3 linked regions of the Caenorhabditis elegans genome follow. The protein of the gene in region 1 interacts with the protein of each later gene in a biochemical or structural test. Each region holds a gene or a part of one and is shown in the gene's direction. Other genes may lie near its edges.

Region 1 (8,401 bases):
GATCACACTGAACACAAAAAAATTTCCGACAATTGTTTAGGAGCAAACGACATTTACCCAAGAAATGTGCGTACCAACTGGAAAGGCATTTGTACTCGTTGAGGAATACTAATTTTGTTCTTTCTTCCAGGCGTGTTTTTGATCTCAGAGCTCGAAGAGTGATGATGAACAAAACGAAAACCGGAAAAGAAGCAAGTGGGCGTCATAGTTGTCGCACTTTTTGAATATATTCAATACAAGAATACAGTAAAGAAAAAAGAAAGAAACAGGGAATTTTTTCCTTGCTGATTCTTTTAATAGAGAAGTCCTGAGCAGTTCAAGGATTCCTTATCAGTTATTTTGCGTAAAGTAACTATGATTCACAAATTACCAATAGAAAATGCAGTTTTCACATTGGAAAAACAAAAAAACAAAAGCTATTGAACATTAAAAAATCGGTACTTGTGTGTTTTATGTATGCCCTCATTTAAAATTTAAATTGAGCTTTCATTAATTTCTCCTTTCAATATAAACGTGGTACGCATCATTCTTCGTTGGGCTTAGAAATGGCTATTTTCTAAGCTTAAAATTAAAAAATATTCCACACGTTTTTATTTTTTAGACTTATGGAAGTATCATTAAAAATAGAAACAAATTTGAAAAAGGAGCATTTTGAATTCGAGGAGCTAAAGCGGCATAACTGTTTTTTTTTTGCGTGCGAAAAAATTTTCATTAGCAAATTTTTTGTAAAATTTATTCTTTGGCCAATTATACGGCTGAATGTGAAGATGAATTTGTTTTTAATAAATATATGGTTTCTACATGAGTTCTCTCAATTAACCAGGTAAGTTGATTATGTTTAAAACAAATCGGAAATGGGCTGAATTGAAGCCCAGAGCTTCAATTCAATAGGTTGGAGAAATTACTGAGTTTCTAAATAAAAAGTATTTTAACAAATGACTCAGTTTCTCGAACTTCCTGAAATGTAAAAAACATTATCCTGTAAATTAATATTTGCAACTTGCAATGAATCATTTCCACCTCCTACAACAATTACACCATTGTTAGTACAGTTTGATTGCTCCACATCGGTGCATCAGTCTCTCCCCCTCATCTCCATAGACCACACAAATGTCTTCTCCCTCTTGATTCATCTATCTCTCGCTTCAAATAGCTCTTTATTTTAATAGTGATAAGAAACGTGCTAAAGTACCGCCAACCGAGTGAAACATGCTCACTAGCATTCTTCACCTACTTTACTATCACAATGGCATGCCATTAAACATTTTCCAAGAGTCGATTCGGTTTCCTGTCATCACGACTGTGAAAATTCGCGGTTTTCACTCGTGCTCGTACACCTATTGCATTTTTTAATTCACCTTTTCAAGTTTTGATAAGAAGTTTTACGCACTCGATTATTTTCTGCTTATTCTGCAATTTTTTGTCCTTTCAAGTCGCACTTTTATAATTTTTCATTTTGCTTTTAGAATTTTCTTGCTTTCTGGTCTTATGGTTACTGTTTCAGCGCATGGATTCCGCTAACGCTAGGGATTGTCTACTACATCTGGCAAGAGCTAAGCTCTCTGAGCGACAAGACCTTGTTCAGCTCAACGATCAGTTTGTGGATATCATCGAACATGTGAGTTTGTGTTATTGCCTATCATCTCTTCTATGTACTGTAAAACAAAATATTTAATATTTTCAGGTCCACTATATGGAAGCTGAGCACACTGCTTTGGAACACGACTACAATTTGCTAAAAAGTGGAGTCCAGAGCGACAGTAGTGGAATTAATGAAATTTACAATGTTGAGATCAGGGTGAGTGTCAATTGTTGCAGCTGTCTTATTCACGCTTCCAGCATTCTTGTTCTTTGTGCGCTATCAGTTTTCACTATTTACTTTCTGTGTGGGCTGAAACCATCAGTTTCCCTCACACAAGTTTTAGCGGCGATGAACTTGTTTACTCGTTAAAAGAAACGAAGCCTACAGTTTTAATGACTTAAAAGTACATTGAAGTTGTGCTCTTTCGTAGAGTACGATAATTTCCTTTGCTTGCGTGTCGCGTTAACTACAAACAATAATCTTTACGATCGTTTGTTTCCGAAGAATTCATTTCTTTAATTATCATTAGAGAATAAAGGGAGTGGCAACTAGAAACGTGCAAGCCGCCTACTATTGATAGCAAACATACTATCATTCTGGTCAGCTGTAAAAAATGAAACTTCTGATTAAAAACAATTTGAAGTATACAATTAATTCATACGATGTATCAATATTATCATTGTTTTTCAGACTGTCAGATCGGGAATTGAAGAAATTAACCGAAGCCGGCACGAACTACTAAATGAGCAAACCCAGTTGTCCCATCAAGTCAAAGAAGCCGAACAACTTTGGAGACACACTGCAAAATCAGCTTTGGGGGTTCCCAAAGAGGTTGATGATGAGTTCCATAGAATCTGTCATATCAAGATGGAAGATTGTATCACTAAGAGAAGAATCAAGTATATGGAGGATAAGCTCAGACTGATCAAACAGAACAATGGAAGAATTTTTGAGCATATTAATTTGATGAGAATGGTGGGTTCGATTTTTTAAAAGACTGTTAATACATGCAAAAACAATAGAGGTTCAATTTGATAGATTTGGAAAAAAAACTCATAAGAACTTTTCGGATATCAGTTTTTTGGGATAGATTTAAATCACACTGGTATTTTGATTGTTGAAATATATTCAGTAGGTACATATATAAATTTTTTTTTTCAAAAACTTATTTTTTTATTTTTTCGAAATGATTTGTTTTCATTTCGCCCAACACGGAAATAATGATTGTAATGCTAAATATAATTTTGAGCCAAAAACTATCTGTTAAAAAAAAAAAACATACAAAAAACTTAGCTGGCTCAAGTTTTCTGTTTTTCAGTTAGTAGCGTGAATGTCATGAAAGACTTGCACTGCCTCTCAAAAAACGCGAGGTTCCTTGTGATAAGCTAAATTTTTTGTCAACACAGTTAAGAAGTTTGACTCATTATCTTATTCATTATCGACTGTGAATTCTCTATATTCAGAGAAAAGATCAAGCTGTCAGTCTGCAACAAGAATATCTTCTTCGCAAGAATGAGTTGTTGCACAGTATCCGAAATATGGAGGAAGACAACAAAAAGATTATCATGAATGAGCACAAATACTTTGTTCGTGATCGCAATGCGGATCGTCACGTCTTCCGCGATCAACTTCGCAAGGCAATTGCTGATATTCGTGCTGATTATGAGGCTAACAGATTGAGAAACGAAGAAGAAATTCGAATTCGCTTGGAAAGGGAAATCCATCGAATGAATACCACTATGCCAGGAGTAGTTTGCTATGACAAACTGAGAGAGGAGCTTTCGATTGTTAAGAACAATCTTTCTGGATTGCAGAAACAAGTTTCTGAAGTTGAAATCAGAGTGAGAATTTGAAATTATTTTCCATGATGATTGTGTAATTTTCAGAACAATTCTCTCACTCAACAAATTGAATTCTATCGTCTGGAAATTTCGGAAAATAACAAGCTTTTCGAGGATACTTTGGAATTCAAAATAAAGGAAATTGAGAAGATGAGAGAGCAATGCACTGCCATCAGTGTTGAATTGGAGAAACTTTGTGACTTAAACATTGTATGTTGTATTATTTTGTGTGTTTATTAAATTGTTAACGTTTTCAGGACTTGCAAAAGGAAATCGCAAAATATCGGGAACTTCTCGACAGATCTGGAGATCCTCGTGCAAATGCGCCAAGTACTCAAGTTATAGCAAGCGCGCTTAGTCGACAGAACTACAGCAGCATTTCTGACCACCATAGCCGAACTTCTTCTGGAATAGTTCAGCACACTGCTCATCACGCTGTGAGAGATTCCTCGTCGTCCAGAACTGGTACCACTATTCATGAGACCATCACTCACACGCCAATTCCAATTCCTGCTACACTTCCTGTTCAACCAATTCGTGAATATACTTATTCGAGGGACGCGAGCCCGATTCGTCCATCATATACTCCGTACCAGCAGGAGTCTCGTGCTGATAGCCGATCTTCTCTCAGGGAGAGAATTCAAATCGAGACTCTCCAAGGCACACTTCCGGTTCTGCCAAGCCATTCGGTTGAAACAATTCGTGCTTCAGATAACACCCGATTAGTGAGAGACCTTAGCGCGGGAGGTCAGATTAACACAACACAGATTAACAATCCATACGCGTCTCGTACTCCAACTTCATCGGTCAATGATAGGATTGCAAGCGAACGTCGTGATAGTGAAATTCGTCGCAACGATGCTTTACATCAACCTTATCCAATTGGTGGTGCCGTTCCTCGAGTTGAGCCTACAATTTTTAATGAACGTGCTCCCGGTTACACTCATATTAATAGCAACTTCCCGCTAATTACGCCAGTGACTGAAGGAGCTACTGTCCCCTCATACTACGATACTTTTAATCGGAACTCGAGCCAAAGAGGGCCACATCATTCGAGCTATCATGCAGCAACAGGCTCAGTGAGCAATAGCATCTCCACTACTCTACTCAATGAAGGATCAATTGAACATAGCAGTAGTGAGTGGAAGACGGCTTTTAATATTGACTGACAACACCTCGTCAAATGCTAAGCTTTGAGACGTTTTTAAGCTGTCGAAAACTATCGTATCATACCATTTTAGTTTTTTCCAGATTAGTTTGAAAAAAGAGTTACTGATAAGACAAACGTACACAACCACCACAAACGAATCGTAAAATAACGTTTACGATTAAAAGTTTACTGTTACGTGTATTATGTAACGACAGTTGAGAGAACTATCACGCTAGAAAAATATTTATAAAAAAATACAAAGAAACGCATTCCAGGTTCCGATAGTGTTGACGAGGACAACTTCCAGAGATTCACTAGATGGTACAAGGGGAGAGTGAAGATTTCGGTAACACTCTTTGCTTTTTAATATTATTAGGACTGAACAATTCTTACAGGATGTGACTGCAGATTTTGTTCAACTTGTAAATAGAAGCTCGAAAAAATCGGCAGACGTTGGTGGCTTCAAACTTATTCACGAGTTTGGAAACAAGAGCGTATATGTTGATCTTCCAGTTGGATTGATCCTTGCACCCAAGGATAGCTTGAAGGTTATGCTTTTTCTAGTGTAGTTTATCAGTTCTTATATAATAGCATTCAGGATCCTAGAATTCACAAATTCAAGTTGATTTGCTTTGAAAACAGTGTTAACTTGTAGAAAAAAAAAATTGTTTTTTTTCAAACGGCGCAAAACTGAATACTACTTCTATGTCACCGATAAACTAGAAACTGTAAATTATTTTTTACAGATCTACGCTCGTGGAGCAACTCATGAAAGAGGAGCAGTTATTGCTGAAATTGACTTCTTCGATACCACCATCCATACCAATACATCAATCAGAAACACGAATAATGAGGTAAATAGTCTTTGATTTACAATTGTAAACACAACTGATTGACATCTGGCCTCTTGCCAATAACTTTGATTACTCCAATTATATTTCAGGTGAAATCGTGGTTTGTTTACACGAGCAACACTGAAATCGGAGATGCAGACCATCATCATCATTGATACATTACTAATGCCAAATTTCTGATAACATGATAATTCTAACAACAAATATATATTTTATTTTCTCTTGTTTTCATTTTTCACACTTTTTATCAAGAAACTTCTACTCGTTGCCCCTATTTTTTTCCACTCACTTCTTGAAAAAGGAAATAATTCTTTAATTCAATCCCAGTAATTCGTATTTCTTTCATATTCTGAATTTAAAATAAACCTATTACTCAAAAAAAGCTCACTTGCCCCGATTCAATTATAAACATCTGCTCTGTTTCGAAACTCTGCTAAATGTAATTTTTTTTTATTCAAAAATTAGAGATTAAAATCGAAATTATTTAAAGAGAAGAAGCAGTTTTCAGCTTTTGTTTTTTTTGAAAATCAGTTTTGATGGAAGTTTGAATTCTATTTTTTCTTCACAAAATTCCAGCGGTTTTTTTTTTCAAAAATAAACGGTTAAGCTACAGAGTATTTTCCACTAGTTCATCTGGCAATACACTTCAACTTCCAAGTAAAAATATTGCTTTCCCGTGCGGTCAATTATTGCTAAACCAATTTTATTCGTTGGACTGTTTTGAGTGACCCAAGAAAATAATGTTTTAAAAACTGTTCCAAGTACAAAAAAGTACCTCAGATGAGATAAAAGTTGATTATTATCATTTAAAAGTGAACCGTATCAAGTTTAAATTTAAAATGATTCACTCATTAATTAACGGGGGTGTTTGTGTGGGTTGAGTAAAGGCATAGACAACTCATATCATAACTCATTATCGGCGCGCCTGTCTTCCACTTACCCTCTTTTTCAAACATTGTCACCTAACCCGATCCTCTACCATTAGGATATTCACATCTGGCACTGCTAAGTGACCAATTCATATCCCTTTCCTCTTTTTTTCTTTGTTTTGGGCTCTGTTTCTCTTTCTTCCATCTCCATTGGATACATGTTTTCAAATTCTTCGCCACATTTTTTTATTTTCATCTACCACTTTTCCACACTCTCTTATTTTCCTTTTCGGGCTCATTTCTAGTCATTTAGAATTTTGTTCTGACTTGAATATTGAACATTCACCACTGGCTTGCGGTTTTTCACTAATATCTCTACATTTCTTGTCGACAAGTGTCTATTAGCAAAATATCACATCGTTCTAATCTAATTAGATAAGAATAATATTCGATAGATCTTCTTTGACACAAAAATTTTAGTTTGCAGGGTTGCTGAGAGCAAACCAAAAATAATGCATGGAGCTTTGGAGGATTTTTTGACAAAACGGGGATACTCAAAGTGAGCTTAAGATTTTATAACAAACATCTAATATACACCAACTAAAATTTAACTAAAATTTTGAAGATACGCATTGCAATCTGAAATTGTCACGGAAGATATGCTAGATGGAATGAGCTTCGAGGCCAATAGTTATTCTATTTCAAAAGACAAAAACGGAAATGATCAAGTGCAAATCAATCAAGGTAACTAGCCCCTGCAGATGTTCCGAAACAAATTTTTTTCAGCAGATGGCAAACCATTTGAAACACAAACGACAGTTGTCCAGAGTTGCAACTAAATATCTTTTAATGCCGGGAACACATTTATAATCGGTCAACAGATGCGGTTTCAGATAAGAACAACCCTGCATAATTACGCGTTTGTTTAAATTCTGAACTGTTTTGTAAGAAACACATAACATTTAATTTATATACTTCAGAATGAAATTCATTTCAACATTGTTTCCGTTGTTTTTTTTTAATATTCAAGTCAGACTCCTTGAGAAAATATGAATGAAAATATGACAAATTGAATTATTTCATGTCACAATTCATATTGTCTTGTAGTAAAAACGCAACATTTCATCAATATCATATTAACATGAAACGTTGCGTAATGGGAATTATTTATCGTTTATCCATTGCTATAATGAAAAATACAAGGTTTTGGTGAGCACGCAACTAGCAAAAAGTAGAAAAATTGATATAATCGAGGTTTTATTTTCATGTTTTATTTGAAATCTTTGTTGGGCATATGTAGGCCATAATCATTGCTTGGAGGGTGTAAAGAGAAGCGGTTTTTGATTTGATTGATTTAACTTAACTTAACGATTATTAATTACGCGTTACGAGAAATTTTTATTTCGAGTCAAAACGCGGAAAATTCAGTTTTTTCCAAATATTTTGAAGTGATCTATTAAAAAAAACAAGTTTTTATTTTCTAGTTTTATATTTTAATTATGGTTACAATATTTATACTCTAACATTGTACGGGCATCCGACAGTGATTGAGATGTCTCAATAAATGCCGCAAACAGTTTTCACCACTTGAGAAACAGTATTCAAAAAGTTTAATTTTGACTGAAATTTTGACTGAAGTACATACTTCGAGCAATGCGGCAACCGGACGAATTTGCAGACTTCTGAAAATTTTTGGCAACTTTTTCATTTTTAAAAAATTTTTTTTAAACTGCCAATGAACAAAATACTTTTTCTTAGATACAATAACGCTATTTCAATGAAATTCAGATTAAAATAAAATGAAAAAACTTCGTAAACAATTTTCTCTGATTGTATACTGCAGCGTTAGCAGTTCCAAAATTTTCATTTTTCTTTACATTTATTTACGTTTTCTGCATTGCCACCTAAGTCTCTAAATCAAATTTTTTATAAACTAACAAAAACTGAATTATGCTACTTTTGTCACAAAACTTTGTTTGTGTGTTTATGTTCTTCTCCCCTCACTGTCCAGGAAAAGAGTATGGAAAAATGGCTCGTGTGCGTAATGTTTATTCAGTCAGTAGAGTTGATGCTGCTCTCACTGTCTCATTTTCTCTACGCTAAAC
Region 2 (7,847 bases), 4.8 Mb from region 1:
AAAGAGACATACATATTGTGAAGTTATTGTCCCCCACCCGCAATAGGTACAAATGATACATCATTATCGCCTTCAACCTACGCGTTCCATGAATAATTATGCAGAACGACAACAACAAAGGGAGTCGTATTGCAATATGTGTATTGGTACACTGTAATCCGCACGTTGAGCGCACCGAAACGGCTTAGTCAGTTCTTATGAAAAATATTCAGAATACAAAATACATAACCTGTTTTTACGTTCCGAACCGATACCCCTGAATAGGATATGAACTGTAATCAGTTTACGGGCGCGGTTTAACTTTTCAAGAAATGTTAGCATCTGTCCCGAAAAACTGTCATACTCTTTATTAGAAGCGAAACGCTGAATTTTCACATTATATATGGATTCGCAAAGTTTCCAGTTGTTATTTATGTGTTTTTAATACGTTGCAGACGACGTAGTTTATCCCCAAGCTTATTGTCTACATAGATCAAAAACTTGCGTTGCTTTGTATTTGAGTATATAGAATGAAATCACTAGTACTGTAACTTTCCTAAACCTTCTCGTGCACTTTTTATAATTGAAAATTTGACAAAAGGCTAAATTTCGCTAAAATTCTCCAACTTATACGTGTTTTAGGACATTAGGTTTTATTGAATTATTAATAATTTAGCATATTTGCAACGCATACCTGTGTTTAATTAAATATCAATTGAAAACATACCTTACTAATTAAAAATTAGATTAATTATAATGATAGATAAAAATTAGAAAAATTAGATAATTGAAAATTAAAAAATAATTAGTTGACATAAAAACGCGTTATGATTAACCAAAATGCACCAGAAGAATTAAGCAATTTAGTCAACGTTCTTGGAAAATACAACAAAAAATACCACTTTTATTATGAATTTCGGTCTTGTGCCATTTTATACGGATAGTTTGCGATGTGGCGTTGCTCATTTTACAAAAATTGCAAAATTGCCAGTGTAAGTAGAAAATACCAATTAAAAGCTAAAGACGCATTAAGAAATAATTTCCATTTCAAATAAACGTTGTTGAATTAGTAATACGTGTGTTGTTAGTTTAATTTTCATTTAAATCTCACCAAAATTCAATTTTTACTATTTCACCTGCGTGCAATTTTTGACTCATATGCACTACCCAACAAATATGTTATTTCCCTACCTCCCCCTCCCGCAATTGTAAAGCAAAAAAGTAAAAAAATGTTTAAAAAGAGACTCTCAAAATGCAAATGTTTGTTTTGATACCCGCTATCAATCCGCCCTTTTCGCCCATTTTTTCTTCTCTCCCTGATTTTACAGGCCGAGTTTCGTTTGTGTACATGAAGGCAACAGCTCCGCCTCCGTGTTATTTTGCATATATATTTCAGGCAACACCTACGGTTTGTTTGTCCGACACGGTCTCCTTAAAAGGGAGTACTGTAACTGAGCTTTTTTAAAAATGACACTGGTTCTATTTTTCCAATGCAACCTTCCTTTTAAACGTTAGTATAATACTTAAAAACAAAAAAGGAAAGTTTGTTTTTTTTTCTAGTTTCTTAATTAATAAAGTTCGCATGTACTGAAAAAATGACTCTTTTCCTGATGATAATGCAATTTATTTTATACAAATCATAAGTTTCATTAATCAACAGACATCTTAGCATTATGTTTCAGAACATTTTATGTAGATTTGAATTTTAAGGGAAGTTTTAATTTTAAATTCCGTTTTAAAGAAGACCGTTTGCCGTGAGTTTTTTTTTCAGTGTTGTTTTTATTTTAAATGTTTAACTTCAATTTTTTGGCAGTTTTAAAATGAACTTGTATACAAACAATTTCATTAATAATTGTTATTTTGGCTGTACAAGTAAATCACGAACCATAATCAAAGGCTGACTTGTAAGATGTCGGCCGATTTATCTAAGAACGAGATCGCGGGGTGCAGATTTGAAACAATCTGAACCTGTAGACAATATAATCAGCTAAATTTTATTTATTGAACTTTTTCCCAACGCTAATAGTTTCTGAGATAGACACAATCAAATAAATTTCAGAATTATAGATTAAGACCCTTTTGAACATTGAATTTTTAACAAGTCGTAAACATTTCACCTAAATTTTAGAACACGCAGTTTCGATGCTCTGAACTTATTTTTGTCAATTTGTATTCCCATTATCCTCCCCTTATCGCATACTAAAAATTTTTCCATTTTTCGATTTTAGTTTTGACGTGCTTATCTTTTGTCATCCCTTCACAACCAAAACAATTCAGAATAATATAAGGTGTTTACGATCCTTTAATACTCATGAATATGGAAACGTTGTGAAACAGTAGCATTGTGTATAAACACGCCATGACGGCAGCTAGCATCTAGTAATCGGTCACCGAATCGCCGTCGCCACCGCCGTCCGCTTTTGAATAGCGGTCAGTGCGCGTTCGTCAATAGCTCGATGAACCGTTACACTCTCCCAGTTTTTAGTTTCTGTTTCATTTTCTGTTTCATGCCTGGTTTTTTCCTTCTATAATTTGACTATACAGACAATTAGGAGTAAACCCTCCTAGGCATCCTCTTTCCACGCATGCCAAGTCCCGTCAAAATAAATAGTGCGCGCGCCAATTTGTAACACGGTTTTTTGTTCTGTCAAGAGTTAGGGCTCTCGAAACAGCTAATAGATCTCGCGCATTGTCATTGTGTCCTACAAACGATCCATCTCTAATCTGTGTCATATTCACTCATATTCTTGTCACATATGTATAACGTCATTTACTATGAGGTAACTTTTCTACACTTTTTCATCGAAAAATAGTTCGCTGTGTTTTTTTTTTAATTTTCGATTATGAAAATGCAATTAATTGAAAACTATTTAAGTTTCCATGTTTGTAGGAAATGTCGGAGAGCGAATACCGAAGCTCAATTTCGGTTCGACCAACGTTTAACAGAACAATGCAATCCACCGCCACCTATGGAAGTACTATTTGTGAGTTTTCAGATGAATATTTTGAATATGAGCAGTACTTTGTCTTTAAAATTGTATTATATGATGTATTATATGATTTATATTAAAATTAAACCCTCCAAATGTTTTAATTTATGTTTTACAATATTCAATTGGCAATATGCCAAACGTTCAAACAACAACCCTGACCTTTTGAGAAGTTTTGAACATTTTTGCTGATCTGAACTTTCAAAATGTACAAATAAAATCAATTAAAATTCAATTAAAAGAAAAAACTTGTGGAATGTTTTATTGTCTCACTACCAAAATTATGATTGGTGAAAAATGATTAAGTGAACTTTTTTGACTGTAAAGTTAAAAATAAAAATTTAAAAAGTGTTAAAAAATTATTAACATTAATGAATTGATTCCTCTGGAAAACCTACAAATTTTTTTTGTTTTATGGTCATGTTTGTCAAGTGTTATTTTTCAGTTCTGATACACGTTTAAAAACTACTTCAAACTACAAAAACTGACTTCCAAAAATTCAAATTTCAGCTTCTGGAACTAGCCGCACACTCAAGATCACAGAGATCGGTGGATCTAATCTAACATCAGGCATGTCTCCATTCGGAGGCCATGCCGCCTCTGCCATTCGTGAATCTCGTACTCGCGAGAAAAAAGAAATGAGTGAACTCAATGACCGCCTGGCGAGCTACATTGAGAAAGTTCGATTCTTGGAGGCTCAAAATCGCAAGATGGAGAAGGACTTGAATTTGCTCCGTGGAAAATGGGGACACGATTCTACAAGTGTTAAAGTTATGTATGAGACTGAGCTCAGAGTAAGTGAATGAATATTATATACAGCAAAATCTGAGAAACTTTAAATTCTGTTCAGAGTGCGAAAGACCTGATCGCCGATTCTGACAAAGAAAGAGCTCAGCTAGAAGATCAAATTAAGAAACTTGTTGAAGAGCTGAACAACTATAGAAACAAACTTCATGAGGCTGAAAGAGGTGCTGACGTTACACGTAAAGAGCTTGACAATGTGCTCGGAAGACTTGGAGCATTGGAAGCCGAGATTGAGCTATTGAAAAGAAGAATTTCTCTGATGGAAGAAAGCATCGGTCATTTGAAGCGCGAAAATCATCGTATGATCGACTCACTTCATCATGCCAGAAATGTAAGTTTCAGTAGAAAACTTAATTTATATGTACAGCTTTCAGGCTGTGGAACAAGAAACTCTGAACCGCATCGATTATCAAAATCAAGTGCAGACACTACTGGAGGAGTGTGATTTCATTCGCAGAATTCATGATTCGGTATGAAAAACAATTAGTACAGCTTTCAACGAGTGTCTTTTTCAGGAAATCCACGATCTTCTCGCTATGGCATCTCGTGATACTACGGTGGAAAACCGCGAATATTTCAAGAATGAGTTATCCTCTGCTATTCGTGAGATCAGAAGCGAATATGATCATGTGAGAAAAGTCATTAAAAGAGGTAAAAAATAGAGACTTGAATTACAGGTGAGCAACACTACCCGTACTGACATCGAGTCTTGGTACAAGCTGAAGGTTCAAGAAATTCACACTCAAAATTCTCGCAACTGCTTGGAGCAGAATTATGCTCGCGAGGAAGTTAAGAGACTCCGCACAACACTTGGTGATATGCGTGGAAAGATGGCGGATCTAGAAGGAAGAGTTCGTTTTGATGACTATATACATCTGATATTATTTGTCAACATTTCAGAATCTTCTCCTCGAAAAACAAATCGAAGACCTCAACTACCAGATGGAAGAGGATATGAGATCATATGAACAATCACTGAACGATAAGGACACATCGATCAACAAACTTCGTGACGAGAGCAAGATCCTGATGGTTGAGCTTCAAATGCTCATTGATACAAAACAGACTCTCGATGCTGAAATTGTGATCTACCGTAAGATGCTTGATGGAGAAGAGAATCGCGCAGGTCTACGTCAGCTCGTCGAGCAGGTTGTTAAGACAACATCTATTCATCAAACCAAGGAAATTGGTAGGTTCGCGTATACTCAATGTTTACTTCACGTTACGATGACCACAAATTACGGTTAAAATTTAAAGTATACGTCCACTGATAACTTGTTTCAAGTTTTCAAGTCATGCGGTCACCAAACTGTGTAACGTAACTTTATTATTGTTTTCCGCCCAGAGAGACCGCTGGGTGTGTCCCCTTGTTGATATACCTTGGTCAATTTAGTACTCCTATTTAATCGCTTTACTTTTGATTTGGAACAGCATTGTTTCATCTTTAACCCAAAAAAGTAACATGCCAGAAATTCATTGTTCTCAATACGAGACTATCACTTTTGACGACGTTCCCCATACCCATTACCTTGTCGGTGATAAAATTCGCAGAAAGCCGCACGGTAAGATTAATAGGAGTAATAGGTGTCACGAGGCATTGTTAGTTGCAAATTTATATCAGTTTTTGTGTTTTGTTGCAGAGAGTCTTCGAGTTCTCAAAGGTGAAACGACTAGTCATTCGTCGTATTCCAGATCAGCAAAAGGAAATATTGCAATTCAGGTGAGTGGAAATTACATCCCAAAAATTGATGTATATTCTGAAAAAAACAATTATAGCAAAATTTTGAAAGCAATCATGGACATTTTTTGAGCGAGTTTTTGCCTGCAATTTCCACTGAACACTTCAGAAAATGACTATTCTTCAAAATGGCCGTGCACAAAATTTAGAAATATGTGCCTGGTGTGACGATTTTGCATGATCCGACATTAACCGGGTTCGCTGCTCACTCAGAACCTAGTCCTGTGCAAAACCAAATATATGTCGGATCATGCTGAACAAAAACTTTCCTTAAAGTGGCCGTGCCCAAATTTCTGAAAACAGTGTTTTCGATTTTTCATTTTTGCAAGAAAAAAATCCACCATTTTCAGGAAGCCGAGCCATCTGGAAAGTACATTGTACTGGAGAACATCTCAAGACGTGATGAGAACATCGGAGACTGGAAACTCCGTCGGAAGATTGCCGGAAAACGCGAAATCGTGTTCACCTTCCCGCGCGAGTTCACCCTTCGTGCTCAAAAGAGCGTGAAAATTTTCGCACGTGGGCAGGGAGTTCATTCCCCACCCGATAGTCTTGTGTACGACCTCGAAGACTCGTTCGGCACCGGAAACGACGTCGTTACTACTCTCTACAACAAAGAAGGAGAGGTAAGCGTCAATAAATTATGCGCGCTGGAACTGACTGGAAACGTTATTTATCTTGTTTCAGGACCGTGCTTCCCACAGCCAACGTGCTTCACACACCTAATTGCATCAACCAATTAAATCCTATTGAACCCGGAATTACTCTCGCTTGCCTCAACTCTCTACTTTTAATGTTTGATCGAATCTTGACCCAAGATACATTTGTTCTCACCGTTAGCCATTCCTATAAATGTTCGGATTTTCAGAATAAACCAATACTGTTTTGAACCGCCAAAGTGAAACATTGATTTTCGTTTCATATCATACGAAAAGCCTTTCATTTTTTGGCTAACTCTCTAACATTTCCATTGCTTTACCATGTGCTTTTTCCATCAATTAACATTTGTAAACTATAAACTGCTTATTTTATTTCTGATCAGTTTGCTTGGTTATTTTTTTGGGAACTTTTTGTTGGACAACTGGGGGAATAGAAATGGGTAAATGCACAGGGAAAGTAAGGAGAAATGACATATAGAAACAAATACAGAAAAAAGTGATTCGTGGGAAAATGTAAACTTTCCAGAGTCTGATGATTGAATAATGCGGTAAGGAATGAAGCCAATTCTTGAGTGGGGGTTTGTGAGAGGGAAAAACTTGAAATAACTGAAGTGGGATAAAGCCGATAGCTTGACACGTGGATCGACAAAAATACACAGATAACATGAACGCTAAAATTTTGAAAGTAAGGAGCTCAGGCAATGACAGTTAGTGGGGTGGAGGTCCCTGAACATCCCAAGTCGAAAGATGTCTCCAAGACTTCTGAATTCTCATCTCCATTCTCATCTTGCTTCTTGAACTCGGCCAACTTCTTCATCAAGTCTTTTTCGGTTTCTTCGACGCGCAAGATGTCACTGAAATTTAAAAAAACAATTAAACAAACAGTTCTTCTAAAGTGCATTTCGTTTGTCAATTTTGTGGTCCAAGTTGCAGAATTTTGAATACATTTGGTCGACGTGACGTCCTTGATAAGGCAATCAGCCGAACACTCTCAATGTCAATAGATAAAGGACGACGTGGTCACAATCACGTGGATCGATATGATCATCATAATTTCCGGGGTCTCTTTTGTCTGGCATAGTTCAAAGTTCAAAGATCTTACCTTCTAGTCTTGTTGATTGCTTCTTTTGTAGCTGCTAGCGAAGCCTTCAGCTTGTGCGATTTCTTGAGCTCAAGTTGGTATTGTTGCGGCCAGTTTGCAGCGATCATCGGCTTCAGAATTGCTCGCAAATTTTTCTGTTGCTTAAGCAGTTGACGAAGCTCTTCCTCCTGCACAAGATACTCGGCGACTTCTTGTTGATTCATCGTTTCCGACAACTTTTTCACGTCGGCTCTGAAATTTCTTCAATTGGGAGTAAGGCACAACCAATCAGATCACCAAAGACTCACCTTTTGAAACAATCAAAATCGTCTTTCTGTGGGATAGTGGCGGCGCCCATCGTGATATTCTTTTTCTCCATGACTGACATGTAGTCTGAAATGAGATTATATACTAGAAGACATGGTCGGATGACGATGAACTATCCGGTCAGGTCGCGTGGGCGGTCTTTCATACTATTTTCAACCAAAAACCGGAGGAGGATGTGAGATAGTGTGACACAAAATTTGCAACACTGCTAGATTTCTAAAAATATAGTTGCCGAATTCAAATTGACGTAATATGTATTTTTTTCTTTT
Region 3 (9,833 bases), on another chromosome or scaffold:
CACCTCTGCCCGCCTCCTATTCATTTCAAACCCAATTATCATCCTTCGTGGTTTTTTCCTCCTTATTCCTCTTCTCCATCTGTTTTTGCCCGTTTTCCTCGTTCCGATTCCTCTTCGCTCCGAATCTGCGGAGTATCGACGAAAATTGGGCGTCGTCCCGTTTCTGAATAGGAAAATGGTTAGACTTCGGGTGAGGACGGTAGAAAAGAAGAAAAAAAACGAAGAATCGAATCCAGTTGAAACGCAAGAAAAAAGGAGAAAAGCGGAGAAGAAGAATGAGGAGGAGGACGTCGACCAACCGTAAAACGCCCCCATCACTTTTGACTTCAATTTGCTTTTTTCAAGGTTTAGCCCCTCGTGTCTTCCATAACACATCCTTCGAGAAATCGTTATTTTAATTTATTTGTTTTTTAAACATCTAAACTATTTCCTCATTTGCAAAATTCAAATAGTTCATAAAAACAAAAATACAAAACCCCACCCGTAAGACGACATAAAACTGAGAACTATGCCTAATCCATCAGTTTCATTTTTCTCTTTCTTTTTTTCATCGAAACCATCTATTGAAAACCAGTAGACTCATAGTATTAATTGGTAGAGGTTCAAACTGCACCAAAAAAAATCAGTAAAAAAAAGGCAGAACAACAAGAGCGATAGTTCCTAGTCTGTAGAGTCTGTAGATGATTAATTGAAATTGGATTTATTCCTTTCTGAATTTCAAAATTTGTTCGTTATTGTATTATTAGATGGGTCAACGTTATGTAGCCTTCTATTCATTCAAAAAGCTCACCCGCCTGCATACAGGCGCATTGAGACCTACCCACTTAGCCGGGAAGAAAGCTATCATATCGGCTATAATTTTTCAATGCTAAATGAGCGCATGATGCCTACCCGCCTACCAGTAGACTTACTTACCTTCCTACCTACCTCCTTGCCTATCTCTCTTGCAAGCAGAGTCGTACCTGTAGATAGGCGGGTAGGCATATTTGTGCATGCTAGTTTTCACATTTGCCTCGAGATTAGAAATTGGCCTCAACTTACCGTATTCTTCCTATTAGACTTGTATCTTCTGGTTCTACTTTGGCAGAATATATCTCGGTTGCTTTAAATTTTATCAATAAATTGTCAACTACCAAATATGTACCAAATATGTCTCTATATTTTGGTTGTAGAGAATTTTTTGATAACACTTGAGACAATTGGAAAATAGGCCGTCAAAGTAGAGTAATTGTGGTGCAGACTTTGTAGGGAAAATACGGTATGCCTCAGCTTTAGTACTGGACGGCGATAATTTTAAACTATTTTTTTACAGGTTTCAATGTTTACAAAACTTGTTTACTGACAATGAGTTCTTAATTTTTTTACCACAGCCCAACATTAAAAATGCAAAACCTTAGCCAGCACGGAACATTTTCGTAGAACTATTTGATCACTTGTACCTCCAATCTTGTCATCATTCTCACCCATAAATGAAAACAAAATGTTAACAATGTCTTATTCTCCCCCTCTTCCAATTCCCTCACTAACATCTCCTCATTTTTCCATTTCAAATCATTTCTCTCTTGTCCTTGACTGTGATAATCGGCCACTTCCTATGAGGTAAAAGTAGTCGTCATCTCTTCTAAATTCTCTCGGAATACGCCTATACGCCAAGCGCATCATTTCAAAAAGTGAAGCGCGCAGAGAGAAAAAAGAAGGAGGAACGCAAATAGCAGCTCGTTTTTCGACGGTTCGGCAACAAAATGGGGGCGGAGCAATTGGTGGGGGCGCTTCTCAGGGCCTCTGCCTCATCGACCCCCGGCGCAACAGACCGTCCTCACAATACCCTTTCGGTATTCTGTAGGAATGCTTGTGTGTGTGTGTCTTTCCGATTTCATTTTTTTCGCTTCACTTTTTTACTCCGAGCAGAGCAGGAGCACTGTGTCTTTTTCTACTTTTATTCACTCCACCCCAAAGTTACTTTAAGCTTTCTAAACTATCGTGAATGAGTAACCGAATGGTTTAGGATTTCAAGTAGTGTCAATTAGAACTTGGTCATACAATTACTCAATAAATTTCCAACTTTATGACTCACTGAACACCCACATGTTTCTTCACATCTTTTGCTAGTTTTATTATGATTTTAAGTTTGAGTCAACAAGCTTTAGGTATGAAAATATGAATACTAAAATTAAAAAAAAAACAGCAATTCATTTTCAAAATCATTCATAAAAGTTGAAAACTTTACGAAACAAAATGCAACATAAATTTCGCTGTCCCACTTTTTTTAGAAAGTTTTTCAGATCTGAACAATTAAGTCTTTAAAGGAGATAGGCATGAAATCATTCCTTTTTGCCGGCTTTCGTACTTGGTTGCATCCTATTTTTCCTGTGAATTCTAGTAGGTTTCGTGCCTACCTAGAAGGTTTTTATTATTTTGCGATCATTTCACGTTGCTCGAAAAAAACAATTATAAGAAGCATTTACTGTAGTCTGCAGAAATAAAAAAAAATCAAGATAATCTTTTAAAAAAATCATGAATAAAATCATTTAACTTCCATCATTTTCTCGTCATTTTCCACCCAATTCTTGCAAATTTCCCTGCACAATGCGCGAGAAATTCAATCTCTATTGTTCTTCCATCTAACAATTCTCCGGAATGTGCTTGGGTGTTTCAATTTGTTTGACAGGTTAACGTTGACTCACCATCATGTCCTTCCACCCATATTCAATTCTGATTTCCATGAACAAAAATGGGCGTGTTCAGTCACTCCTCCTCCACCTTATTTGTTTTCTGTTTTTTTGTGGAGTGTACTCAAAAAAATGTTGAACATATATATGAGTGTGTATGTTTGTTGAAAACCGGCCACGCTTATTTGGGTTTTGATAAGGAACAAATTGGATGCCGAAGGATGCAGAAACATTTTTTTTTATCATATTGTTGTTTTAAGGTTTAACACTTTTTATTAAAATTTGTAATTGTTACTTTTTGCTCAGTTTTCTGTATTTTCCCAATTCAGCTTCTATATTTTCAAAAAAAAAATTTCAGGTAGCGTCAAACTTCTGAAAGAAGATGTCGTCTCACAAGGAATCTTCCGAGTACGAGATGCAATACAGATCCACCATCCAGCCAAGAACAGCGGTTCGCTCTCAATCACGTCAGTCTGGAAACTACGTGTCTGGTGGAAATGGAGCAGGATCCGGAGGTTAGTTAGATTTTAAAAAAATTTAAAGTTGAAAACGGTAAAGATTAAAAAAAATTTCAGCTATTACTATATCCTTTCCTCTGAAAATAATCATCAATACCAGGAGCATTTCTTGTTTCAAATTCTTGATTTGAAATCCGGATAGTTATATATCTTTTAAAAAAATTTCCTACTGAAGTCTAAGCTTCAGAGATCACTCAATTTCCAACGTATTTTCTATACTTTCCTGTTAGATTGAGAGTTTCAGAATATACTTTTATTTTTTCAAAAGTAGTAAACCTTCAAGCTATTTTTCTCCTGGACCGGTCTTATAGATGACCTTAATTCAAGTTGACACTATACATCCGATCAACTATTAACTGAACCAATATTCCAATATTCTTTTTTCCTTTCTTTCTCTATTTCTCTGTTTACATGTTTATCCGTCTACTACCCATCCATAATTATGTATTTGAATTCAAAGCGAATTAGTGAACAGTCGCATCAATCGAACCGAACACTTTATTCTCTCTCTCTCTCTCTCGTTCATCCGATTGCAAAAAAATAGTTTGGGTGGTTTTATTAATCAATTGGAAGATGAAGTAAATATTGGTTTTTGCTGTGCTATACAATAGAAATGAGGATGGAAATATAGACCTGGAGGATGAAAAGAAAATATAAAAACGAGAAAAAGAGAGCAAGAGTCGTTATCAGTGCGAACGCGTTGATTTGTTCTTGGCTAAACGAAACGTTTTTGAGAAAGGTGAACAGTTTGGTAGAGGATAATATTTTGAGCAGGGATTTTACATTTTTTCTACTCGGAGTTGATCCAAAATCTTCTGCTTAAAAATATCACTTAAAATCAATTATTTTCGAAATTATAAAAGTTAAAAGATAAAAAGTAATACTTTATGCCTTTAAATGCAATTTTTAATTTAATGAGTTTTCTTAATATTTGCTCACTTGGCAAGAAACCACACTTTTTCATAGTTTAACAAAAATCTAGAAACAGGTTTTTATGAAGTGAAATTTCTGTGAATAAATGGGGGAATTCCTCAAAAATTAAACAAATATTAATATTTTTGGAGTTTTGAGGCAAAAATGGGGAAAATTTGAAATTGGCAATTTTAGCATAAAATGTCAGGATAATTAAAACTTCAAAAACTGCAGTCGAAATATATTTAATTAAAAGCTAAAAACAGTTTTTAACAGTAAAAATTTGAAATTGAAAATTGTTTGTTAAGTCAGAGATTTAGGTACGTAAACTTACTACATAGTATTAGCTTCTTATAACTTGCCGTAAGCCTACGCACGTATCTGCTGCCTAAACACAAGTTATCTTTTATGTTTGTAATTTTTAGTTGTTCTTTGAGCAAGTTAACTCACTGTGAAAATAGAAAATAGGCAGGCATTACCATAACAAAAGAAAAATTGTTCTTTTTTATTGTTTTAAGCAAATCTGGAGATCAAGATCAAAATATAAGACCACAAGATTTTTTTCCGGCAGCCCATATCGTTTCCTATTCAACCGTCATTAAATCCACTTTTTCTCATCCAAAAAATCCCATAAATCTCTGGGTTTTCTCGTCTCTCGATACAGTCTCACAATTAGCATAATCACTGAGGAACGCCCTTCATTTTCAAACCAAAAATCTATTGAATTTAAAAGTTCAAGTTCCATCAAGTTTATAGTGCATGACAGAAAGAGTTGTTAGGCAAATAGTCTTCAACTATGCATATACATAAAAATGGCAACATTTTTGGAAATAAAATGCAAAAAGCAAATAACAGATTGAAAGAGGCACCAAAATTTCAGACAGTTTTAAATACAATATTTCAATTTTCGTAACCAGTTGAGATAACATGTATAAAAAGATACATTGAGCCGATTAAGTCAACAAAATGTTTAGTTTGTTGTTTCTTGGGCACACTTTCCGCCAGCCGGCTGACTGCTCAACACACTTGAAAACTTGACGGACTTTGAAGAAATCCGAGCTTTTATTGATTTTATTCATCATTTATTTTAATTTTGTTTTTTTTTGGGTAACGAATTAAAATTAAAAGAATCCCCTGAATAACTTTTAATTTAGAATACAGTTACGAAATAGATGAGAAATAGGTGAGAAAGGAAGGAATGACCACACCCAAGATGTGACTATTTTGAATGATGAGAAACTGAGACATGGAAAACACCCATTTTTTATGTGTGATTAGTCATTTAGTTTTAATGAGTGAGAATTGGGTGGAACAGTGACAAGAACTTATTATACTGATTATCACTTGATTTATGAGATCTTCTCGGATAGAATCTCGGATTTCTCCGATTTATTGCAAGATGGTGTAGAGTTTTTTTTTTCAATTAGAAATGTCCCATCTTACATTTAAGTTGTCAAAACTAATTTTTTAACCAATTTTGTTCTAACTTGAGATAAGTCAATTTTTGCGGCCCGTGTTTCAAGATTCTTAAACTTAAAAACATTTTTGAGGACTGGAAATGATGTTTTTCTTAATTGAATTTCTATCAAATTGACAAAAATAAAACAGGTACGTTGGCCTAAAAATAAGCCTTCCTACCATTAGATTTAGTTTCTGAAACAAAAATATCTCCCTTACCAAAAAATGTCAAAAATGGAATCCTAGTTAAATTAATTAGCTTCCCCGCAATTTAAAAAAGATAACAAAAATGAATGATTGAGATCTGATCAAGATGATTATCTTTAGTTGACTCCGCCCACAACAACCTTGACGTATTCTTCATCTTCAATTTCTAAGTAAGTAGTGTCTTGATCTCTTTCCACTTTTCTTCCAATTTATCCATTCATTCATAGGCACAGTCAACTCGCAATCTGTACGTATGTGTACATGTCCGTTGTCTTCAACTTATCACCATTATATCTTCTTCTCTTTCTCCATTTTCTATCATCGGTGATGATCGGGAAGGCAAAACCATTGACACACCTTCATTCTTTTTCTCTAAGTTCTCCACAAATTTAATGCTATTTCTTCGTTGGGTGGAGTATTCAGAAGAGGGTCAGAATTGGTCGACGGTTTCCGTTATTTTGCATAGTGTTTGTGACACTTACATTTAGTTTCTATACCATTTGTTTTTCATTTTTCATTCAGAAATTTTCGAACTTGTTCCTCATTATTTTTTTTCCCTTAATCTTCTAGAAAAACTTTAAAATTTCAAGCTAAAACACATCAGAAATGGAGGCTGAATCAGCGCCACAGGCACCAATGTCAGGAGGTAAGAATAGAAGAATATCGAAATATAAATTCCCAATAGAAATATAAAAACACTCAAATCAAATCTAATCTCCTAATTATCATTATAAAAACGTTCAGGACGCGTGCTAAAGATGGTGACAGAGATGGGATCAGCTACAGTCGGAGGAATTTCACCGGCCTTGTCCGCAAACGCAGCAAAATCGTTCCTTGAGGCGACTGATAAGGAAAAGAAGACACTGCAGGGACTCAATGATCGTCTCGGAAATTACATTGATCGTGTCAAGAAACTCGAAGAGCAGAACCGTAAATTGGTTGCTGATTTGGATGAGCTTCGCGGAAAATGGGGAAAAGACACATCCGAGATTAAGGTATTTTAGTGAATTTCAAATAAATTTTAAGCAAGCTTCTGCAAGCAAAAAACTGAAGTAGTTGTAGAAAAAACATTTATTATTTGATTGTGAATCAGTAATTTCTATTTAGATATATATTCGAAACTTTCAAGATTTTATTTACTATATTAGAGAATTCTCTCAAACATCCTTAAAATCTTCAACTTACCAGAAGAAAATCTGTGCGCTTCCTGTCCAGTGTTTTTTTAAAATTTCAACCTATATTTTGGAACAAACTTCTTAAAGCTTCTTTCCTATTCAAATTGTTAATTTCAGATCAAATACTCCGAATCCCTCTCAACAGCTCGTAAGGACATTGACGATGCTGCTCGTAGAAAGGCAGAGGTTGATGTGAAAGTTGCCAGACACCGTGACGACTTGGCTGAGTACAGATCCAGGTTTATTTATTCTTAATTTTCTGTTGCTTATCAATATTTATTCAGATACGAAGATATCCAGCAACGCCGTGAGTCCGATCGCGAGAAGATCTCCCAATGGACCAATGCTATCGCTGATGCTCAATCCGAAGTTGAGATGCTCCGTGCTCGTTTCAAGCAATTGACAGATGAGGAGAAGCGTGTTACAGCTGACAACTCGAGAATCTGGGAAGAACTTCAGAAGGCCAGAAGCGATCTTGATGATGAGACCATTGGCAGAATTGACTTCCAAAATCAAGTGCAGACTTTGATGGAGGAGCTCGAATTCTTGAGAAGAGTTCACGAACAAGAGGTTAAGGAACTTCAAGCTCTCCTTGCTCAGGCTCCAGCTGACACCAGAGAGTTCTTCAAAAACGAATTGGCTCTTGCCATCCGTGATATCAAAGATGAGTATGATATCATTGCCAAGCAAGGAAAGCAAGACATGGAGTCCTGGTACAAGCTCAAGGTTTCCGAGGTTCAAGGATCTGCCAACCGTGCCAATATGGAGTCCACCTACCAGAGGGATGAGGTCAAGAGAATGAGAGACAACATTGGAGATCTCCGCGGAAAATTGGGAGATTTGGAGAACAAGAACTCACTTTTGGAGAAGGAAGTTCAGAACTTGAACTACCAATTGACCGACGATCAAAGACAATACGAAGCTGCCCTCAACGACAGAGATGCTACATTGAGAAGAATGCGTGAGGAATGCCAAACATTGGTTGCTGAGCTTCAAGCTCTTTTGGATACCAAGCAAATGCTTGACGCCGAAATTGCCATCTACAGAAAAATGCTCGAGGGAGAAGAGACCAGGTAATTATTATCGTTATTTAATCAATATTCCCAGCAAGCCAAATTTTGGGCAGTTTTGTTATCATTTTGTTCTAAAACCTTTCTCAAAAGTTTCAAAAATATATTTGCAGAGTCGGACTCACCCAAATGGTTGAGCAAGCCGTCAAGACGCATTCTCTCCAACAACAAGAAAACACTGATTCGACAAGATCAGTTCGCGGTGAGGTATCCACCAAGACCACCTTCCAAAGATCCGCCAAGGGAAATGTGACAATTTCCGAGTGTGATCCAAATGGAAAGTTCATCAAGCTTGAGAACTCGCACAGAAACAAGGTATGTTGAAGCTTTTTGGTTTTGAAATGTTGAAAATTTTATTTCAGGATGAGAATGTTGGTGAGCACAAAATCAGAAGAAAGTTGGATGGAAGACGCGAAATTGTCTATTCCATTCCAGCCAATGTTGTTATCAAGCCAGGAAAGAACTTGACCGTAAGTTATTTTTATCATTGTTTTAGAAAAAAGTGTGTAGCTATGTAAATATTCTTAGTATTTTTTTAGTCTGCCACTATATTTTTGAGAAACCCAGCCAACATAGTCTGAAGCCCGTTAAAAACGTACTTTCACCTGAAAATTTCCAAAAAAAAAATTTTGAAAGGGAATGGCCAAATTTTGCTAAAATCTGAAATTTTGTGAGATTGTCCATGTAGCAATATCGGAAAATCAGTTGTTATTTCTCTAATGCTCTTTATCAGAGTTACAGGTTTTAGAAATTTGAAAATGTTTTCCCCAAGTTTTGAGCCACCATAAGAAATTTGGAAACATTTTCTGAGAGGTCTCATTATGAAATTTAATCGTTTCGGGTTAGTCTAAGGGTTTCTCGCATTTGCTGAGAAACTAATCTACATAATTTCGAAAAGAGAATATTCCAATTCCAATAAATTTCCAGATCTACGCCCGTGACCAAGGAGGCATCAACAACCCACCAGAGTCTCTTGTCTTCGATGGAGAGAACACCTGGGGAATCGGAGCCAATGTTGTGACGTCATTGGTGAACAAGGATGGAGAGGAGCGTGCAACACACACCCAGAAGACCATCCAATCCGGACAATAAGCTCTCATTATTTTTAAACAACTTTTTCTCTTTTAAACAACTCCCCAAAATCACTCAAGTTCTCTAGTTTCTGTCCATAATTTTCTTATTATTCTTGATGATAGACCTTCTCGACATTTTTTCTTTAAATTGATTCATTGAAACTGCCTAAAACTGACCAAAATATTGAATTGATTTGCTTAAGACTCTTCACTTAAAATCGCTAATCTGAAATTCATTTTAAAAAACATCAAAAAAAGAACAAAAACGTTTGCAATTCTTTTCATAATACACTGCTTTTCCCGTTCAAACTTCAAGTGTTTCCCCCCGCTCATTTTCCACCGAAAAATCTTTCTATTCAATGTTTTCTACTTCTTTTTCAATTTTAATAAGATTTTTTATTCAGTTTAGTTTTTTTTAATTGAAGACAAATCATAAATACAATTTTAAATGTGACCATATAAAAATATACAAAGTATTGGAACTCTGATTCTGACGATAAGAAAAAATATTCAATTTCTCAAAATGTTTTATCATTTTCTCGGTATTCTTCTTCGGCTTCCTCATTTTTCATTAAACGATGACTGTAATCCAATGGAGCAGTTTGTGGGAAAATTGTGCTCGGTGATGACGTGGCAATTGTTGGCTGGGCTGAGAAGAACGCTGGTGGAGCTGCGAGGCTCGCAGCAGATGCGAAATCTGACATTGATGGAGTTCCGAAGAAATGCGGCATCACTGAAAACACTGAAAATA

What was found.
Region 2: the proteins of ifp-1 (region 1) and ifa-4 form a complex in vitro, tested with the Caenorhabditis elegans proteins (one study listed by BioGRID).
Region 3: the proteins of ifp-1 (region 1) and ifb-1 form a complex in vitro, tested with the Caenorhabditis elegans proteins (one study listed by BioGRID).

Annotation. Positions count from the first base shown.
Region 1 is NC_003284.9:9,673,273-9,681,673, reverse strand, and holds ifp-1 (Intermediate filament protein ifp-1), read left to right. Parts: upstream 1-1,504; 5' UTR 1,505-1,507; coding exon 1,508-1,618; intron 1,619-1,684; coding exon 1,685-1,798; intron 1,799-2,272; coding exon 2,273-2,557; intron 2,558-3,045; coding exon 3,046-3,423; intron 3,424-3,468; coding exon 3,469-3,633; intron 3,634-3,680; coding exon 3,681-4,560; intron 4,561-4,848; coding exon 4,849-4,919; intron 4,920-4,968; coding exon 4,969-5,121; intron 5,122-5,319; coding exon 5,320-5,427; intron 5,428-5,516; coding exon 5,517-5,582; 3' UTR 5,583-5,801; downstream 5,802-8,401. Other genes in the region: C43C3.4 (Penicillin-binding protein), read left to right, coding at 6,809-6,855, 6,922-7,040, 7,083-7,135. UniProt on the Caenorhabditis elegans protein: Cytoplasmic intermediate filaments provide mechanical strength to cells. Not essential protein.
Region 2 is NC_003284.9:4,911,002-4,918,848, reverse strand, and holds ifa-4 (Intermediate filament protein ifa-4), read left to right. Parts: upstream 1-2,869; 5' UTR 2,870-2,872; coding exon 2,873-2,963; intron 2,964-3,479; coding exon 3,480-3,763; intron 3,764-3,819; coding exon 3,820-4,104; intron 4,105-4,147; coding exon 4,148-4,243; intron 4,244-4,288; coding exon 4,289-4,402; intron 4,403-4,450; coding exon 4,451-4,624; intron 4,625-4,673; coding exon 4,674-4,962; intron 4,963-5,413; coding exon 5,414-5,493; intron 5,494-5,861; coding exon 5,862-6,137; intron 6,138-6,198; coding exon 6,199-6,237; 3' UTR 6,238-6,541; downstream 6,542-7,847. Other genes in the region: K05B2.2 (Ras-associating domain-containing protein), read right to left, coding at 6,865-7,024, 7,273-7,503, 7,560-7,644.
Region 3 is NC_003280.10:5,762,591-5,772,423, forward strand, and holds ifb-1 (Intermediate filament protein ifb-1), read left to right. Parts: upstream 1-3,027; 5' UTR 3,028-3,051; coding exon 3,052-3,184; intron 3,185-5,631; exon of another isoform or gene 5,632-5,755; intron 5,756-6,354; exon of another isoform or gene 6,355-6,370; coding exon of another isoform or gene 6,371-6,410; intron 6,411-6,508; coding exon 6,509-6,759; intron 6,760-7,056; coding exon 7,057-7,178; intron 7,179-7,223; coding exon 7,224-8,012; intron 8,013-8,122; coding exon 8,123-8,324; intron 8,325-8,371; coding exon 8,372-8,479; intron 8,480-8,936; coding exon 8,937-9,101; 3' UTR 9,102-9,494; downstream 9,495-9,833. Other genes in the region: Doublesex- and mab-3-related transcription factor dmd-5, read right to left, coding at 9,601-9,824. UniProt on the Caenorhabditis elegans protein: Cytoplasmic intermediate filaments provide mechanical strength to cells. Essential protein, involved in attachment structures in epidermal cells that connect muscles to the external cuticle. Required in morphogenesis and epidermal integrity.